Linked DNA regions of Danio rerio. The protein of the gene in region 1 purifies or fractionates together with the protein of each later gene. This does not show direct contact. Links are inferred from orthologs where the notes say so. Each region holds a gene or a part of one and is shown on either strand. Other genes may lie near its edges.

Region 1 (4,092 bases):
TGCTAAATGAACTAGAGAACTGGCGCAGTGTAAATTCTTCACATTTACAGACAAACATTTCATGTTAAACATCTAGAAAAGGGTTAAAGGTGTCGGATGTGGAAGTCAAAAGCATTTATTGTGTTTATACCAAAACTATTTTCGACTATAAAACGTTGCAATTTAGTTTTTTGCTACCCGTAAAGTATACACAATCAAAGCGGCGTGTTTATTTACCGGCAATACACAAAGCAGACTCTCGCTGCTGAAAGGTGAAACTTCAGAGTTCATTTGCACAGGCTCGTGTTGCAGTGACGACAGTGGGAGGGGCGTCGCTTAGACAACGCGGAAGATCAAACAAAACACGAGCAGAGAAGTGGATCAGTGACGTCACATGGGAACGCTGATAGAGCTGTTTTCGCTTGTTAATCAATAACAAACCTCATGTTTGCCCGTAGCCAACGGCAGACAAGTAATAAACGAAGACTTTTATACATGATAAACGTATAAATACGGACAATTAATGATGAGCAATACAAAAATGGTCCCTAAATAAACATGATTGAACTGATGTAGATGATTTTAATACATAATATAGTGATTCATATATTTTATTAAATATACTATAACGTATATATTGAAAAATGTATTGAATATAGCAGATTTAACACATTTAGACTACTACAAATCTTGCATTATTATTATTTACTGTGATGCAATAGGCTGAGGAAATAAATGAGCTCAGCATTTTGTTACAAAGGAATCCCTCGTTAACCGTGTGAAGGCAGTTCACACTGGAAATACGTGGTTTATGAGTCGACACGCCCTTTATACACCCAAAGGTACGAACACAGCCCGGGGCATGAAAGACTTTGAATACTTCTGCACAGAAATGATGAAATCTAGGACAACAGGTGCCATGTAAACACAGCATGGACGTGATATGTACTTAAAAAGACATATTCAATTTTGATCAAATGATTGTGTCAAGAAAATAATATAAAGTCATTAAATCAAGTTCATAAACTATAATAAAAATACATTTAGAGCTGATATAATAAGTATATTCTGTTAAATGCTGTTTTTATTTATTTATTTACTTGTAAAACATTGAAATCTTCTCGAACTATCTTTACATAATGCTGCTCACTTGCACAGAGTATTTCCCATAAGCACTCCGCCTCTTCAGGATGTTTTCCATATAAGTTAAATGACGTCTTGGGATACCCTGCTACGGAACATCGTCTCTTTCACTCCGTTTCACCCAGAAATAACAACATGCGAATGTTTTTAAAGATAAAATCTTACGTATTAAGCGTGTATTCTTGCATTATTAATGTTTCGATAATGTATTCAGTAAAATGCGCTCGCGAAGACGTGTTTTTAACGTTTCTATGCAAACACTGAACGCACATGGCCACGCCCCTCCCTTTGACGTCAGGCACAGATCTGGATATAAACCCCGCGAGCGCTGTGGAGCGGCAGTCAAACTTTGGATACCAAAACAGAGAAAAGAGCAGCAGACGAGCAAGGAAATACAAGACCGGAGCGTTTTTAACTTTCTGGATATATTAGCGCTGGATAGCTCGTGCTTTTCGACTTTTGACAGGATGATGTTTACCAGCCTTAACGCCGACTGCGACGCGTCTTCCCGGTGCAGCACGGCTTCACCGAGCGGCGACAGCGTCGGGTATTACCCGCTCAACCAGACTCAGGTATTTACATGACAGCAATATATTTAGAATGATCATTTCAGATAAATCATGATTTAAGTCAGTTTATTTATGTTTTTAAAGTATATTATGTTCTGTATTATGTTATAATCTGAATGAAACCCCATAAACAGTAATATAAACAAATAAATTGTATATATATTAGTTTTGTGACTAATCAAAATATATTGTTTATCATATAATAAACGATTTCATATTCTATATTTCAGGAGTTCACGGATCTGAGTGTCTCAAGTGCCTCTTTCGTGCCAACTGTCACGGCGATCTCTTCATGCCCGGACTTGCAGTGGATGGTCCAGCCCATGATCTCCTCTGTGGCGCCCTCCAACGGCGCAGCTCAATCCTACAACCCGAGCTCTTACCCCAAAATGAGGGTTACTGGAGCAAAGACCTCCAACAAGAGAAGCAGATCTGAACAGGTAAATAATTTGCAATTAACTTTTGTTTTAAAATCAACTGACAAACAACTGACAATCTACATTTTGAATGTTAATTTGCCAATGCTAAAACACCCTTATTTTTGTGCTTCTGCAGCTTTCTCCAGAAGAAGAAGAGAAGAAAAGAGTACGTCGTGAACGAAACAAGATGGCTGCTGCGAAATGCCGCAACCGTCGACGTGAACTCACCGATACACTGCAAGCTGTAAGTATTCTGCATTTTCCCTCCAAATCCCATTCTAGCTCGTTCCATCCATGACATCATTAAACTAACCCTTTGATGTTCCACAACAGGAAACTGACCAGCTTGAGGATGAAAAATCCGCCCTGCAGAACGACATCGCCAACCTGCTCAAAGAAAAAGAGAGGTTAGAGTTCATCCTCGCCGCACACAAACCCATCTGCAAGATCCCGGCCGACGCCAGCTTCCCAGAGCCGTCCTCCTCTCCCATGGGCTCCATCTCAGTCCCAGAGATCGTCACTACCTCAGTGGTCTCTTCCACACCAAACACATCAATCACGACCTCTTCCAGCAGCCTGCTGTTCTCCAGCACGGCCTCCACCGACAGCTTCAGCTCCACCACAGTGAAGATCTCTGATCTGGAGCCCACTCTAGAGGAGTCTCTGGAGCTCCTGGCTAAAGCGGAGCTGGAAACGGCTCGCTCGGTTCCAGACATGGACCTGTCCAACTCTCTGTACACTCAAGACTGGGAGCCGCTCTACACGCCGGCTAACACTGACCTGGAGCCGCTTTGCACACCCGTCGTCACCTGCACTCCAGCCTGCACCACCTACACGTCTTCCTTCATGTTCACCTACCCAGAAAACGACGTCTTCCCGACATCAGTGCATCGCAGGGGCAGCAGCAGCAACGATCAGTCGTCCGACTCCTTGAATTCCCCAACCCTCCTCACTCTTTGAGATTCCACTAAAGACTATTAGTATTTATATCTGTGACTTGATTTCGAATGGCATTGCAGGGCTATGGAAGTGACTCTAAAGCAATGGATATTGCTTCCTATATTTATCTGAACCATACATGCCTGCCACATGTAGCAAGATAAGCATGGATCAACTGATTTTATTTGCATTAATGATCTGGTTAGTGTTGAGTTAACCTAATATAGTTATTTTTCTGAGTTTACCGGTGCTAGATTTGTTGTATTTAGTGTGTTCTGAGCAATAGAGAACTATCATGTTATTTTTTTTCGGCCGTTTAACGGTTGATTTCTGAACGTGTGAATGTTGTTTACTCAAATGTGTGCTGCCTAACCATTGCATTAAATGGTCTGACGTCCAAGTATGAAGTTTTCTGTGAAAACGTAGTCTCTCTTTTAATTTATGGAGTTTTTATTTTTGTACTGAAATGTGAACTTGCGAATTGTTTGCAAAAAACAAACAAAAAAAACTAGACACAATAAATATTAAATGTATAAACTAAAAGATTTGTGTGAATGCGAGCTTATTGTGTGGCTTGAAAATACAGTTTACAGCAGTGTTTCCCAACCATGTTCCTGAAGGACAACCAACACTGCACATTTGTTGCTAGATCAAATACGGTTGAGGATGGAAGTTAACTAAGTAGACTGAGAAGGCTGTTATCGTCCATCCACATGGTTAATCATCTATAGATCACATATGGTTGCGGCCGGATGTTAGCGAGATTTATATTATTTATTAAATTTCCTATTAATTGTATTCTATTAACGGCTTCCCCCACCCCAACTATCACAGTAATGTAAAAACAGTCGATGTATGGAGTATTACTTATGCTATCTGTTAAAATAATTCATTCATTTTCTTGTCGGCTTAGCCCCTTTATTAATTTGGGGTCGCCACAGCGGAATGAACCGCCAACTTATCCAGCACGTTTTTATGCAGCGAATGCCCTTCCAGCTGCAACCCATTCCTGGGAAAGCTATCTATTAAATTACCCAATACAT
Region 2 (3,500 bases), on another chromosome or scaffold:
ACTTTATATTATAAAACTGTGCATTATTTCTGTTAAGTGACAAAACTATTGTCTAAGTTAAGTCAGACCTTACTGTCCTAATTAAATAATTTAAAAAATCAAGGCATGATACAGTTTATTTTTGCAAAAGAATCATAATCTAGAGGCCTTTGCCTTTCATATTAGCCACTTCTGATACCAAATGATCAAATAGAAGTCAAGCGATTATTTGTTGTTCGTTAAAACTTGAATAATACTTTTGTCAGGTAGTGAATGACACATTTTCTTTACAGTTTTCTTACCATGCCACCCATGTTCTGCCCAAGCTGAGGTTTCTTGTCCATATTAAACTGGTTAATGCTGTTTGGTTGACCCGCTTTGTTTTGGAGTTGAGGCCCAAGTTGAGACTGTCCTCCGCACTGACCATATGAACCGCCATACGGGCCTGGAGCACCCATCATCCCCATCTGAGACAGAGGAAAGAAAAAAAACAGGAGAAAAAATTATGAGCTACGATTCCAATCTTTATATTTTCAGTTTGATCCATTAATATGATGATGAAAAAACAGTTGAAGGAATATTAACAGCAAAACAAGCTTCCATCACTAGGTTTGTTTAATGCTTATTTCCAAAACTTTTAATTAAGCCTCATTTCTGTAATGTTAGTGACACAGTAGTATCAATTCCCCAAAATAAACCTCAAACAGCTGCTTAAAATCTAGAAAGACCAAGCAAACAAAATAGAAAATGTCATTCCATCTTTTTTCTGCCCATTTCCTGCAGTCCAGGTTGTGCAATCGCCTGTGAATCAACAAAATGGTGCGTAGTTCCTTGTATGAGGCAAAAGACAAGGTTTTTTAAACTGAGATTGTTTCAGTGTGAAGATTCATATTACTGACTGTCTCGTCCAAACCAAAGAAACACCACAAGATGGCTACGCATTCATTTCAATCGTCTATTTCACTACCTGATTTAGAGAATGGTCTTGCTTGACAAAAAAATAAACAAAGGGTTGGGTTTCAGCTCTGTTATGAGATGATCACTAATAAGAACTGTGTATTGAAACAACAGCTGAACGTTTTAGTTTAGTTTTAAAACCTAACATTCTACAACTACACACGTCTTTTATTAGTTCTGTTAAGTTCTAAAGTGTGAAAATAAGAAAACCTGGTTTTTAATTTATTTATTTAATACCAATAAATACTAAAAACTTTTATGTTTGACCTTTAACATTTAGTATCAAGCTATATTCAAAGCAACTAAACAATAAAGTCTGGTTTCATAGAAAAGATAGGTGTGTGACAGGAATTTTCTCATTGTACTTTTGACTGCATATAAATAGTTTTGAAATAGGAAGTTTGGAAAGAACATTGAATGGCCTGCTCTTCAAGAAAAAAACAACAGTCTTTTGTAACTATGCATTTAATGATCCTTTAGAATCCTTTGGCCCTCAAGAATCATTGTCCTCTACAGTTATTATTCTTATTCTTATTATTTTTCTTATTATGATTATTATTATTAGGTAAAGTGAAATTTCACCAGTAATTAATTCACCGAAACACTTCACAATACCTTGTACTTATAAGAATTTATTAGCAGTAGTGGGCAAAATAGGCCATTTTGTTGTGGACTTGGCTTGTAGACTGCATCAACAAACATTTGCGAAATAATGGGTGGCTCTCAGGTGCTCTGTGAACTCATGTTATAGGTGGACATCTGTGCAAAAAGTCCATTGTTGTAATTTCCTTACTACTGTTCATTCCAAGAATAACTGTTAGCAGTATAACAAAGCGAAAGAAATTGGAAACAACGACAACTTGGTTATGAAGTGGTAGGCCACAAAAAAAACAAAGAGGATGCGTAGTGTATGCTGAAGCACACAGTGCACAGAAGTCGCCTACTTTCTGTAGTCAACATCTATAGTTATTAGCTCAAGGACAGGCGTAGAGAGCTTCATGGAATCGGTTTCTAAGGCTGAGCAGCTGCATCCAAACCTAACATCACCAACTTCATTGCAAAGCAAGAAAAGGCAATGGTGTAAAGCACACTGCCACTGGACTCAAGAACAATGTAGATGGTTTCACACTTCTCTGTCTGGCGATCCAATGGATGAGTCTGGCTTTGGCAGTTTCCAGTAGAACGATACTGGCCTTATAGCATTGTGCCAAGTTTGGTGGAGGTAGGATTACGGTGAGAGGTTGTTTGCAGGGGTTGGTCATAGCCCCTTATTTCCATTGTAAAGAACTCTTAATGCTTCAGCATACCAAGACATTTTGGAACATTTCATGCTCCTACTCTCCATGAGTGAGTTCAGTGTGGAAGAACTTGACTGACCTTTAGAGTTCTGACCTTGACCTGACAGAACACCTTTGGGATGAATTAAAGGGGAGACCACAATCCAGATCAAAAATTCCCAAACAACATACTCCAGAAGAATTGTGGAAAGCCTTCCCAGGAGAGTTGAAGCTGTTATAGTTGCAAAGGATAGGCCAAATCCATAATAAACTCTACAGATCTCAATCCGGATGTCATTAAAGGTCATGCCCATGAAATCAGGTCCAATTGTTTACTACATGTTAAAGACAAAGGAAAGAGGCAAAAGAATGAGTGTTTGCAGTCTTTAGCGAAACACAGTAGGTGTTCTATCCTGATTTGGGGCTACGTTTCAGCCAGTGATGTTCAGAATAATGTCTTAACTGATGGACTTGTGAGTCCTGATAAGTACAATTCTGGAAAGGGCTTTACTTAAAATACTGATAATGATCCCAAACATGGGTGTCATGGTGGCGGAGTCGGTAGCACGATCGCCTCACAGCATGAAGGTCACTGATTCAACCCCCAGCTGGGTCAGTTGGCATTTCTGTGTGGAGTTTGCATGTTCTCCCCATGTTCGTGAGGATTTCCTCTGGGTGCTCCGTTTTCCACCACCGTCCAAAGACATGCAGTACAGGTGAATTGAATTAGTTATAAGTTAAATTGGCAGTACTGTATAAGTATGTAGTAAAAAAAAAGAAGGAAGGAAAGAAGGAAGGAAGGAAAGCCTAAATCTAAAGAAAAACCTAGGGAAGTGCCGAAAGAGCCCTGATATTAACTACAATTACATACCTCATAATAATTATTAATTACATTATCTGATATACAACTATGGGTAAAATCAACAATGAAATTGATTGTCAATGAATGGCATAGCAGATTAGTTGGGCTGCTCAAGTGACTGAGAAGCATGACGACAAGATAGAAAGCCCCTCGTGCAATGGCAGGTACAGAAGCAGCTGATGGAAAAAAATCATGCACCCCTAGTCCTCCAAGGTATCAAAAAATTTTACATTAAATGCCTTAAAAAGGATAATACCCCTCACTCTACGAAAGACTGAATTTTCGAGGGACAGAAGTACTGGCTCTAAATTAAATTAGCTTAAATTAAATGGTGGGATTAGAGTGAGAGACTCCATATTTAAAATCAACAGACAACAGCAGTAGTAGAATATCACAATTAGTCTATGTTATGGTTTTCAGCTCAT
Region 3 (3,500 bases), on another chromosome or scaffold:
TAAAAGATAATAAGACTGTGTACAAGATGCATTATTGTGGCTTTTATAAACATTTGAACAAAAACTTTGTGAGAATTTGCCAGGGGTTTGAATAATTCCAGCCTTGACTTTATATATCGCATTATCATAGCTTTGATTATAAACCAAAATGCCAAAAGCAAACCTTTCTGTTGTTTAATTAATGTCATATCATGCCACTCACCACATGCTACATAGTCTCCATTTGATGCCAAACCCACAAAGTTCTTCTCATTGATGTGGCCTTTGAAAGAGCGTAAACAATGAGGCTTGTTCACGTTCCAGAGTTTCAGCTGGCTGTCTGTTGAGCTGTGAACACAGTGTATCACAATTTAACTCTGATCTCAGTTTAAAATCAAGACTCTAAAATTTAGTTTGTAATTATACTTTCAACACAATACTTATAAGCCATGAATGATCACTCACATTAAATATATCTTTATATTTTTTTATTTTATTTTTTTATTTATTTTAATTTATTTTATTTTATTTTCTACATTTTTGGTGAAGCACTATAGCCCATACATAAAAACCAATTCTAGCAAAATTTTAGCTGATTGTGCAACATCTCTACTGAAGCTGGCAGTGTCATTATGGTAAAAAAAAAACACTATAGTATTTACTATAAATTAGTGTATTTTCTTGTGGATGTTTGACAACTGAAAATAGATCTGGTACTAGACTATATTATATTATATATAATATTATATATATATAGATATTTTAGCCTGTGTTACTTTTTACCTTGCACTATTAGCTAACATTATAATTTTGGATATGCGTTTTCCTATATTGATTACAATACCCAATTTTTAAATTGTTAAAATATTCTTAAGAATAAAATATTATGTGTTTTTCGGAAGAGTATAATAGCATTGTGATGCTATTATACTCTTATTATATAACGAGTGGCATAAAATGGTCTTAAAAAGCAATATATCTTGCTGCAATATATATAGTACAACAAAAAATAGAGACAGATCTACCCTTAACTTCTTCCACTGACTTTTGTCCTCAAATTATTTCTACTGATAAAGGAAAAAAAAAAAAAACACAAGGACTTTGAGTGTATACATACGCAGAGACAATTTCTTCTCCATTGACAAACTTGGCATAGGATACTGCTTTCCTGTGGCCTTTGAAAACCATGATGGGCTGCTTAGTGTTCCTCAGGTCATAGTAGTGCACACAGTGGTCTGTAAAAGATTTAAAACAAAGTTTTAAAAAGACTTCTGCAGGAAGCCAAACTTTTAATAGATTAAAATGAATTATGTACCTGCACAACCGAAGGCAAGATGATATCGAGAGGTTGGACTGAACTTAACACAGCATACATTGGCCTTGGCTTCAATGCTGGCTACTGAATTGTCCAGGTTGGTGGACCATAACTTGACTGGGGAGAAGCGAGTTGCATTCATGAGTATTTATAAAAGAATATCTTCGTAAGAACTATAAATCAAATAACTTGATAGGAACGGTTCGGTTGCGGGAATACCTTTTGCGTCATCTGATCCCGACGCTAAGAGCTTGGGATCCATAAGGTTGAAATCGACACTCCAACACCGCTTTTCATGCTCCTATGAAAAATCCAACCAGCAAATCAGAGTCTAACATAGATTAAGTATAAATGTTTCGCAAATTATATTATGTGTCAAAGACGAGGCATTATTCTGACCTGTTCTTATATTCTGACTTAGGGATCATACTAAATGCTATTATTATATTTTAATTGATTAAAAACCACCTGCAGAAAAATTAGTAAAACATGGATTGACAGAGCATTACATTTTTCAATTACATGTAATTACTACTTTGGGGCTAATTATGACCCCTAAATAGAGTCTTTTTGATAAAGTAATTTCTGTTTTAAATATGGCTGAGAGGGAAGATGGCATATAAACTATTATTTCATTGAATTATAATTTTATCCTCTGTAAATAATGGTAAAAATATATGACAGACAAACACAAAATATACTCCTCAATAATCACTCCAATTAATTAAAACAAAAACACAATAAACCTGTCTTTTTTCTGTACACGATGTACAAAACAGCCTGTATTTATACATCTAATAATTATTTTAAAGCTATTATATGCATGTTATTTTTATCTGTTAAAAAGGACTGACTGTATCCATGCAATATTAAGCAACAAAACTGTTTATAACATTTAAAATATTTGACAGATCTATAATATTTGAATGGGAAACAAACAATTATTTAATTTTGTATGCATGTAATTTAAACCACATAATTACATCAGCTGTCCTCTAAAAGCATGGCTTCTGCACATTTCATTAAGTCAGTTGTAAGACTTGAAGACAATTGGAAATGTACATAAAAAACTGTTGATGGAAATGCCAAGATGCGCATCAATTTTGGAAATGCGTACGTGCATAACAAAGTAAGAGAAACTTTTTATCCGAAAAGAAAAGATGTGCGTAAACTATGATGGAAAAAACACTTTTACCAAACAAATTCAGTTTGCGCATTAAAAAAGTCTTTGCATTGTAAAATATCTGAAAGGTTGTTTTGGTTATTCTAATACCCTTTAAACTAGGTCTGGGCGATATGACAAAAATGCAAACTCGATAATTATTTTCCATATTGAACAATAATCATATAGATTTGATGCAAGTTGTCAATGTTTCCAGATTTAAAAGAGAACCCCTACAATCACTGAAGCCACAAAAATTAGAAGGTCCATTAAATGGCATAACATTTTCAGCCAAAAATTTGGTACATCTCTAATATTAACACACACTTTTAGAATCTCATGTTTACACATTTCTGCTGTATCATGGGCTCTTAGATCAATATAGCATAAAAATGTAAAAGTTAAAAGTTAAAAAATATATAATAAACTACATCTATGCACAACAATCTGTCCTTTTAACGCACTTGTAAACAATTGTTATTGTAAGAAACCTAAACGGTGAATAGAGTTAAAAGTAACCTTTTGAAATAAAGTTTAAAGTTTAATTGACATTGGTTATTGGTGATTGGGTAGCTATAAATGGACAAAGGAAAATTAATACCTGGTTTAAAAAGATTTAAGACCTACAACACAATATTTCAGTAAATTACTTTAAGACCTAAAATTTTGATCTTGAAATTTGTCTTTTAAAGACTCTGTAGATACTCTGTGAAAATTATAGAGAAAAATATTCAGAATTTGGCTGGGCGTTAAAATCGCTATCAATGACTGTTGACCGAACACCATTGTCATTTTCGCCGGAGAGGCCTTTTGGTTTCTTTTCTTGTTCATCCCAGCTACTAGCACCCCATCTGAAAAATTTTTGCATAGTGGTAATGTAGTCATTCAACTTCACAATTTTACACACACTGTGTACCATTTTATCTACCAAGCTTACGAGTAAAAAAACGTATGTTTATTTTACTATAAAGAGATGGGATATTTTGTTTAAATATTTTTGTCTATGACTATTAAAATGATTTGCCTCAGTAATGTTGGTAAATT

What was found. The genes of interacting proteins can lie anywhere in the genome.
Region 2: the proteins of fosab (region 1) and ep300b purify together in Homo sapiens (affinity purification with western blotting; 3 studies listed by BioGRID and IntAct, with this or other methods). This does not show direct contact. The link is inferred for Danio rerio from reciprocal best matches to the Homo sapiens genes FOS and EP300.
Region 3: the proteins of fosab (region 1) and cop1 purify together in Homo sapiens (affinity purification with mass spectrometry; 4 studies listed by BioGRID and IntAct, counting the BioPlex papers as one, with this or other methods). This does not show direct contact. The link is inferred for Danio rerio from reciprocal best matches to the Homo sapiens genes FOS and COP1.

Annotation. Positions count from the first base shown.
Region 1 is NC_133195.1:49,906,116-49,910,207, reverse strand, and holds fosab (v-fos FBJ murine osteosarcoma viral oncogene homolog Ab), read left to right. Parts: upstream 1-1,478; 5' UTR 1,479-1,589; coding exon 1,590-1,694; intron 1,695-1,921; coding exon 1,922-2,131; intron 2,132-2,246; coding exon 2,247-2,354; intron 2,355-2,443; coding exon 2,444-3,070; 3' UTR 3,071-3,592; downstream 3,593-4,092. UniProt on the Homo sapiens protein: Nuclear phosphoprotein which forms a tight but non-covalently linked complex with the JUN/AP-1 transcription factor. In the heterodimer, FOS and JUN/AP-1 basic regions each seems to interact with symmetrical DNA half sites.
Region 2 is NC_133178.1:23,789,361-23,792,860, forward strand, and holds part of ep300b (histone acetyltransferase p300), read right to left. Parts: intron 447-3,500; coding exon 282-446; intron 1-281. UniProt on the Homo sapiens protein: Functions as a histone acetyltransferase and regulates transcription via chromatin remodeling. Acetylates all four core histones in nucleosomes. Histone acetylation gives an epigenetic tag for transcriptional activation.
Region 3 is NC_133177.1:38,101,960-38,105,459, reverse strand, and holds part of cop1 (E3 ubiquitin-protein ligase COP1), read right to left. Parts: intron 1,596-3,500; coding exon 1,514-1,595; intron 1,412-1,513; coding exon 1,295-1,411; intron 1,215-1,294; coding exon 1,097-1,214; intron 328-1,096; coding exon 203-327; intron 1-202. UniProt on the Homo sapiens protein: E3 ubiquitin-protein ligase that mediates ubiquitination and subsequent proteasomal degradation of target proteins.